2 linked regions of the Caenorhabditis elegans genome follow. The protein of the gene in region 2 interacts with the protein of the main gene of each other region in a pairwise test. Each region holds a gene or a part of one and is shown on either strand. Other genes may lie near its edges.

Region 1 (4,132 bases), on a different chromosome or scaffold from region 2:
TTCAGCGTTTCGCTTCTAATAAAGAGTATGACAGTTTTTCGGGACAGATGCTAACATTTCTTGAAAAGTTAAACCGCGCCCGTAAACTGATTACAGTTCATATCCTATTCAGGGGTATCGGTTCGGAACGTAAAAACAGGTTATGTATTTTGTATTCTGAATATTTTTCATAAGAACTGACTAAGCCGTTTCGGTGCGCTCAACGTGCGGATTACAGTGTACCAATACACATATTGCAATACGACTCCCTTTGTTGTTGTCGTTCTGCATAATTATTCATGGAACGCGTAGGTTGAAGGCGATAATGATGTATCATTTGTACCTATTGCGGGTGGGGGACAATAACTTCACAATATGTATGTCTCTTTTCAATTTTGATTGTGACTCACCGGCAACCATCTCAAACGTTTATCAATTTGTCGTCGAACGCAATTTCAGATGCTTTTTTCGCTTTTTTTGTGTTCGAAATGATTGGAATTTCATTTCGACATACAAAGAGAGTATTTATATTCAAATCAATTTTTTGTAAGTAAAGAAATGGAGAGATGATTTTATTTGCACAGAGAAATGAAGTTCAAAGTTTTGCCAAATGTCTCGAATAGTCAGGAAGAGGAGTTGGCGCGCCGAGGTGTTCGGAGAAAAATTGGACAGTTTTTTCCCAGACTTCAAACTGACTTTTTCCGTGAAGGCTTGTTTCACCACCATATGCTTGGAAGGTTCCTGAAAATTTGAATTTTAGAAAACAAAGTTAACAAAGTTTAATAAAAAATCAATGAAATCGGAATTTTAGATGTTGCAACAGCGGTCGACAGCGGGCCAACAAAAAAAATAATAATTTACCTGCAAAAGCTGAAAACACAGCTTCGTGATGCGGAAAACATGGAGGATCTAGCAAATGACCACCAGAAACATAATGAACTTCGACTTTCCTGTTTAAGTTTCTCAACTTTTCTGATAACACCTTTCCTACAAATACAGTTGGTGTGCTCAAATCATCTACGGCGAGCTGAAAATTTGAAATTATTTCTATGTTTTTTGTCGGGAAAACTAACAGAAAATCTAAATGCAGTTTCTGGACTTGAATCCTCGAATTTAAATCCTGCCCCATCTTCAAGTTTTAGGTTTCTGACCATATCAGTGTACACCATTAAATCATTCAAATACCAGATATCCTCAATTCCTTGATTGATAAATCTGAAATGCTGAAATTTGTCGGGGGTTTTATCATTTCGATTTGATGCTCAAATGTGTGATTCCTTTTCATTTGTTATATTATAACAGAATTTTTATAAACATTTAATGAAAAATGACATTTTTCTAAAAATGCACCTTCCTACTGGAGGTTGTTTTCCATCTATCAATACGTGCGCAAATTCGTCCATTGTGAAACTGCCATTGATTGAGCATGCCGCTTTTATCTTTAAACTATTAAATTTGTTTTCAGACAACATTAAATCCTACCTGTTTGAACCTTGTGGTGAGAAACATAACAAGAGTTCCTCCAAACGATATACCTTGAAAGCCAATCCTGTCATTCGTATAGGGTAATGAAGTGACAAAATTGATGGCATCCTGGAAGTATAACGTTTTTGAAAAATACAAAATATTTCTTCAACCTCAAAATATCGTAATTCGACTTCTTGCAATTCATATGGCAAATCTTTGTATTTGAAGAATGCAAGGCATAGGACTGCAAAACCACGACTGGCAAGTGCGGCGCCCTGAATTATTAAAAAAATATTCTATCATCGGTTTAGTTTCGAAATTAATAAGTTACTTTCTGTTCATTCAAGCCTCCACCGGTTCCGGAAATATCGATGATTGTTGGGAAGGGGCCATTTCCAGGTGGTTTGAACATTGTTCCGGTAACTTTAGGCTTACCGGTGGTACCTTCTGGATATGCTTCTTCAACCTCTATTCTTTCCACCAGTGGATGCATAAGCCTCCTGCATAGTGATTTTTCGCCAAGCACGGTTCCATTCAAGTTTTTCACCCTATGTATGAACAATAAGACTATTGAAAATTCAAACTAACTTACAACAATTGGTATTTGAAGTCAACCGGGGGTGTGCAATTACAATATCCGCCGTATCTGACAGTATCCGTTGGCTCGAGGCTTTCGAACAGTCCGCTTTCATTAACACCAGAATAAGTACCACGTATTGGAGCGATTTTACTCAAATCTATGCAGCCAGTTACGGTAGATTTGAAAACACCATACGAACGATATATTCCAACTTTATGAAGTAATCTTAAAAGATCAAAGACGTGTTAAAAGAATGTTCTGGAAATGTTTTGATTTTTTCTTTGATTTATTTGGTACGTTGAACTGATTACGGCCAATTTAATAACAAAATCTTCAAAAGTGACACAATACATTTTAAAAACTTACCTCAGCTCCAAAAGATAATTTTTCTGGTACTCCAGGCCGTTTACAACAATTGACACATTTTCATGGACCAGCGAATCTTCGGGTGTTACTAATATAACCGGAGACATGACTATGCTAAAAACAGTGATATCAAGACAGGTGGGTACATTATATAATGATAACGAACATACAATGAAGTTTGTAGTTTATCAATAAACTTAATGAATGAAAAATATGCGAATAGATTTTTAATTAATATATTTTTTCAAATGTTTTTTCTCTAATAAATTAAACTTTTAAACTCTAACAAAAAGTTATATGAATAAAACTGTTTAACTTAAACATTCAAATCATTATTAAAACTTTGTCGTAAAATCATAGTTTGTGGGTTTATTAAGAATGATTTTATCAAGCCGTACGTAAAAGATAAAACCACACTCTTTGCTACACTGTAGCAAAATACATTAGAATTAACAATCACATCATTTCCTATCACGGAAAGCAATTTTTATTAAGGAAATATATAGCTTTGGAATACAGTTGAAATGTAGCAGTATGAATGAATGAAACAAGCCAGGAAGGGAACAAAAAACAACCAAATGCAATATCCGAGGAGGTCATTCGACATGGGAATGGAGACACAAAGAATTACAATTTTACCTAAATGTGGATTTTTTAAAGATTGGATATTTGCAAACAACAACAGAGATGATTGAGACAGGAAAAAGGGAAACGTACCCAAATAAAGAACATCGAGGAAATGACAGAAGTCATAGTCAAACACAGAGGAAAAAAAGCGAAAGATATGAATAGTTAAGATTTAAAAAAAAGAAATTACTACACACAACTAACCGAAAATTGGAAAATGCAAGCAGTTTTTGTATATCATAATATATGAAAAATCGTGCTATAATGCTAAAACCTGAGACAACTGCAAAGTTCGAAAAAACGGAACATGGGGAGGGGTCTCATAAAACAATGGGTCAGTGGAAACAAGATCAATATTGTTTAAATAAATGGCATGCTCCGTGTAGATTTTGATGAATTGGGTGAGAATCGGTTAGCAGCGTTGGCTAGATTGGTTTTCTAGTTATTCTTGAGTGATTTTAGTGGGATCTAAATTAGTAAAACATCAGTTTATCATTATCGTTGTTGGATGAACATACATTGTCATCCATTTCATTTCCTTCCTCGACAACTCCGTTTTGCTTTTGTTTGCGTTTCTCTTCCTCCAGATCTGAAAATTTTGCATATTAAATTTTGAAAAAATAAGCGTCAAACTTCAACTTAAAGTTATAGGAGCTTTTTTTCTAAAGGTAATCTGTCACTTTTGGGGTTATTGATTAAATATGAGTTCATAGAGAAAGTTCATTAAATTTTCAAGAAAACAAGAAAAGTTCACCGACAAACGTAAAAAACTATTTTCTGTCGCATGTTCAAACTCCTAAAATTATGGAATGTAAATATTTTGAGCGTAATTATAACTTACAATTGGAAGCAAGAAAAGTGTTTTTTAATAGACGCCTTCAAAAAAAAAAACGAAAATTGAAAGTTTCAGATCATTTTGACTTGAAATAAAAATTTTCAATATAACTTTGTAAAATTTTTCTCACGATTTTTGAACATTGGAGCACTATTGGAATGTTTTTATATATCCATATCATTATAACTTTGAGTTGAACTAATTGAAACAAAAACCCCATAAGTGATAGTGGCCTTTAACATTTTGTTATATTTACAGAAGGATTTCATTTGGTTTCA
Region 2 (4,564 bases):
CCATTTGGACAAGTGGTAACGATGGATTTGCATTCTGGATAAGTGACTACTGGGGCAAGGAATTGGTCTTCGGTGTATTGTTTGGCTATTTCTGGATATTCGGTTTGAAGCCAATTGAATTCAAATGTTGGTTGTCTGATGCACCCGCATTCTGAAATTTTCAGGGAATTTCGGAAAGCCGAATATATATTTTATTTTATTTTTTTAAGTACTGAGAAGTAGCTGGTAAACATAAAATTGAACATTATCATACCAGAATGAAAGTAAAATGATGAAATTATAGAACCTACACAAATTTTTATTATTGTCTACGAAGATTTTCCAAAACTCCACTAAAACTTAATGTCCCTGTCAAAACTACTTTCTAAAAAATGCGTCAATCTATACTCAAACTTTGAAATGTGCTATTTGCAAATTTATAACTGAAATTTCCATTAAAAATATTAACTGTGAAACTCAACTCGGAGAACTTTTAATTGTCTCCTGAAAGTGTTCAGTTCATATTTAGTGTTTTTCAGCGATATTTTTGGGAATTTCCGATATTCCATAATTATATCGGTGATTTTTTAGAAATTGTTTTATTGAAAAAAAATTAAATTTTAAGTCAATACATTTTTGTGCAAAATTTCTTTAATAGGATACGTTAGGGGCTAAACTACTAGCTAAAACAGTAGCCTATATAGATTTTTAGAGAGTTTTGCAGAAAGTATCCAACAAAACCAAGCTATTTCTTATAAAATTAACTACACTAAATTAAATGATTTACGTACCATTTTCAAGTGGATTCTTGCACAATTGAGCGGCAAAGATCATTAGAAGAAGGACAAGAAGACTGATAGCTGACATTTTGATGGTGTTTGCTTTTTCGTTTCAATTTCATCGGCTTTTATTCGGTTCCGATCTCCCATATTAGCTAATTCAATATTCAAAATTCAAAATTCAAATGGGACAACTGGCAAATGGTAATTAGTTTTGCACGGTGGAATTGACAGGGCAAAGAATGAAAATGTGATGTGGAAGTTTGCATTTAGTAAAAAGCAATTTTTATGATAAAAGTAAATACATTTCGGCTTGTAAGAACTGGAAAGTGCGCATTCGTTCAATAAAACTAACGGAAACCAAGATTAGTCGTGAACAATGAACAAAGATGCTTACTCCCGATCGATGCACCATGTATACTGCTGTTCTTTGAAAGCCAGATCTCGGTTGAATTGAAAGACAATTATGAACTTTTAACCAAAAACTAAAGAAAATAATTCACCTCCTATTGATGCACCATGTGTACAGCTATAATCTGGAGGTCAATATTTCGGATTTTTAACTTATCAGAAAATTAAAATTTTCAAACTTTAAAGCAATGGATGAAAAATATTTTATCATTCAAAATTTTCTCATAAAATAAATGACAGATAAGGTTCGAGTTTTTAAATCTAAACAATTGTAGTTTGCGCCATATCGATGCACCATGTTACTTCTCATGTTTAGCAGTTCATATCTCAGTTCTTTGTAATGTTATCAAAAAAGTTTTAACTACAAAGGTCGATGCACCATGTCTGACTTTCTCACTCTAGTAATCCAGCTGTCGAAGTAAAGACCGCATTTTTGAACGTATTCATTTCTTCTATGAAATTCTTTTTTGAAATTTAATCATTTTTCAAAAATATCTCAAAAATGTGAACCATTTACGTGAACTCATAAAACCTCCACAAACTTCCAAAGTTTACTGCGTGGCAAATCATAATTTTATCTCTGCCCTAAATCTCCAAAAATCAATCAGTCTCAGAATTCGGAATTCAGTATTTGATATAAATCCTTGCATTGATTGTGTCCAATCACACTTTGCACAAGCTTCGTTAGATCTTAACAAGATTAAAACAAGCTGATATCATGACTGATAAGGATCTACTTCATCAAAAGTACTATCACGGATTGCTGCCGAGAGAGGACATTCAGGTGAGTTGTGCTACTGATGGTTATTCAGACTATTGTCTTGTTTCAGGAGATGCTTAATAAACCCGGTCAGTTCTTGCTCAGAACATCGGAGCCTGTTAAAGGAGAAAAGAGGCAGTTCGTGTTGTCAGTTGTAGGTGAAAAGAAGACTTCTGTTAGTGATTATCTTTCCCGGGATTCCAATTAAACTTCTTCTTTTCCAGGCTAATCACTTTGTTGTTCGTGAGAGTGATCACAAAGTCTACGTTGATAAGATTGGCTTCCCAACAATCATCGAACTCGTCAATCACTATGTGTCGACCAAAGAGAGCTTCTCGACCAAGGATGGAACTGTCAAGGCTGTGCTGAAGCAGGCTGTGGAGCGTCAGAAATGGGAGCTGTACCATGAGGATGTGGAGTTGACGAAGAAGCTTGGAGAGGGAGCATTTGGAGAAGTATGGAAGGGGAAGCTCCTGAAGATTCTGGATGCAAATCATCAGCCTGTACTTGTCGCTGTGAAGACTGCAAAGCTGGAGAGTATGACGAAGGAGCAGATCAAGGAGATTATGCGGGAGGCTCGATTGATGAGAAATCTTGATGTGAGTTTGAGATGAAAGCCTTATGATTCTTGGAATAGTCTTGCTCTGCTTGGGTAATTTCGGGCCAAGCTGCTGGTTCAAAGCGAACGCTAATTAGTAGTAGTAGTAGTAGTGATGTATCACAGGGCTTCGAAAAAGTCATTGTGGATCCACGTGGATTTAAGGAATCTGTGGGAAGCTGTAAAGATTTTCCCTTAGTTTAAATAAGCCTTAGTCTCTGATTTTCTCGCAGATAAAAAACTTTGAGATCATAGTAATCGGGGCGTTGCTAATTAGTTCAGAAATAAACACATTATATTCCCCTGCACTACATTTTTCAATGATTTATTTCAGCATATCAACGTCGTCAAATTCTTCGGAGTAGCAGCTGGCACGGAACCTCTTTACGTGATCATGGAGTTGGCTGATGGTGGAGCACTCGATTCTGCCCTTGGGAAGCTCCATTTCCCGATGATCAAGAAGTACGAGTTGATCTACCAAGCTGCCAATGGTCTCGCCTACATCCACGAGAAGAACCTGATGCACCGGGATGTCGCTGCTCGTAACTGCCTTTATGGTGGTGGACAGGTACTGTAGATTCACCTAGATAATAATAATAATAATTTATTACGCTCGCTGGGAGACGTGAAGGAATACAGAATACAAAAGTTATTGTTCGCTTGAACTAGAATTGGTGCAGTCGGGCAATCGTTTCCATTCCATTAGAATGTTGTCCTTGTCCTTGCGTTGTCCTTGCGTAGACTCCCCCATAGTGGGCGAGCGATTCCCGAGTGAAAATAATCACGGATCTAGATGCATCTAGAAGTTAACAAACAACTTTCAGGTCAAGATCGCTGATTTCGGACTGTCCCGTGAAGGTGCGGACTACACGATGGATCTGAAAAAGAAGGTACCAATCCGTTGGTTGCCTCCAGAGACCATTCGTTCGGGTCTTTATACTCCAAAGACTGACGTCTTCGCTTTTGGAGTGATGGCATGGGAAATCACCGAGGATGGGAAGGAGCCATATCCTGGATTCAAGGTTATTGAGGTGGCAATGAAGGTTCTCCAAGGATACCGTATGCCGTTCAGCCCGGAGGTAAACAAGGAGTTTGCAGAATTCATCTTGGTAAGAATCAATTCAGATTAATGTAGTTACCGTAATCCAATAACTTTTAAGACGAAATGCTGGCCGGAAAAGTATGAGGATCGTCTCCCAATGAAGGACATTTGCAAGTGGATGAAGTCGTTTGTCAAGGCTCAAGGAGGAGATACTGGTCCAGGCGGAGTGAGTTTTTGTCAAAATGTTTTAAATTTCATGATTTCTTACAGATGATGTCGAAGATTGGCAAGAAAATGAAACGGTCAAACTCGCGTGAGAAGAGCAAAAGCTCGACTATGACTGCTGCACATGGGCAAGATCAAGGTGCAATGACAGCCATTGAGAAATAGTGAACTTTCTACATGTATTATGAATAGTTTTGAGAATAAAGTTTATTGAGAAAAGTTTTTATTCAATTAAAAATTGTGGAAGTGTCAATCATAGTCCTTCGCCAGTTTTGATGGTTATTTGGCTTGTCCAATGCAAGTCCCATTCGTCCACCGTTGAGCTATGAAGAAGAAGAATCTTGCAGCAAAGCCACTTATGATTTTATCCAGTTAAAAAAATTATTTATTTAAAAAAATTAAGAATAATCGAAACAACTAATAGTAATATTTATACTCACAGAAAAAAAGAAGAAAACAAAACGAAAAATGATACAGATTGTCTATTTAACAAGAGGTTTGATGGCGTTATTATAAATACAGAAGGAGAGAGCGGTGCCGAAGAAGATCCAGCCGATGTTCTGGATGTCGAGAAGATTGAGAAGCGATTGGGAGAGAGATCTGGAAAATTAGATGATATGAGTAAAGTTTTTTTCCAAAATCGAAAAATGTGAGTTTTTGAAAGTGGATTTTCATTATTTCTCGATGTTTTTTGGATTTTCAGACAATTTTGGGTGTTTTTTAAAAGACAATCGTAGGTGATTTAAAAACTACTCTTTTCTTGGAAAGAG

The links. Proteins that work in one complex are often made in the same cells at the same time.
Region 1: the proteins of C35E7.10 (region 2) and K05B2.4 interact in a two-hybrid assay, tested with the Caenorhabditis elegans proteins (one large-scale study listed by BioGRID).

The regions. Positions count from the first base shown.
Region 1 is NC_003284.9:4,918,481-4,922,612, forward strand, and holds K05B2.4 (Acyl-coenzyme A thioesterase 1-like), read right to left. Parts: upstream 2,513-4,132; 5' UTR 2,500-2,512; coding exon 2,393-2,499; intron 2,252-2,392; coding exon 2,039-2,251; intron 1,995-2,038; coding exon 1,778-1,994; intron 1,722-1,777; coding exon 1,617-1,721; intron 1,573-1,616; coding exon 1,462-1,572; intron 1,419-1,461; coding exon 1,330-1,418; intron 1,195-1,329; coding exon 1,053-1,194; intron 1,007-1,052; coding exon 841-1,006; intron 721-840; coding exon 575-720; 3' UTR 508-574; downstream 1-507. Other genes in the region: mct-4 (MFS domain-containing protein), read right to left, coding at 3,458-3,487, 3,538-3,608.
Region 2 is NC_003279.8:10,810,097-10,814,660, reverse strand, and holds C35E7.10 (Tyrosine-protein kinase), read left to right. Parts: upstream 1-1,737; 5' UTR 1,738-1,887; coding exon 1,888-1,953; intron 1,954-1,999; coding exon 2,000-2,104; intron 2,105-2,153; coding exon 2,154-2,528; intron 2,529-2,861; coding exon 2,862-3,095; intron 3,096-3,351; coding exon 3,352-3,636; intron 3,637-3,687; coding exon 3,688-3,795; intron 3,796-3,839; coding exon 3,840-3,959; 3' UTR 3,960-4,013; downstream 4,014-4,564. Other genes in the region: C35E7.7 (uncharacterized protein), read right to left, coding at 1-151, 771-846; slfl-3 (Schlafen-like protein 3), read right to left, coding at 4,277-4,394.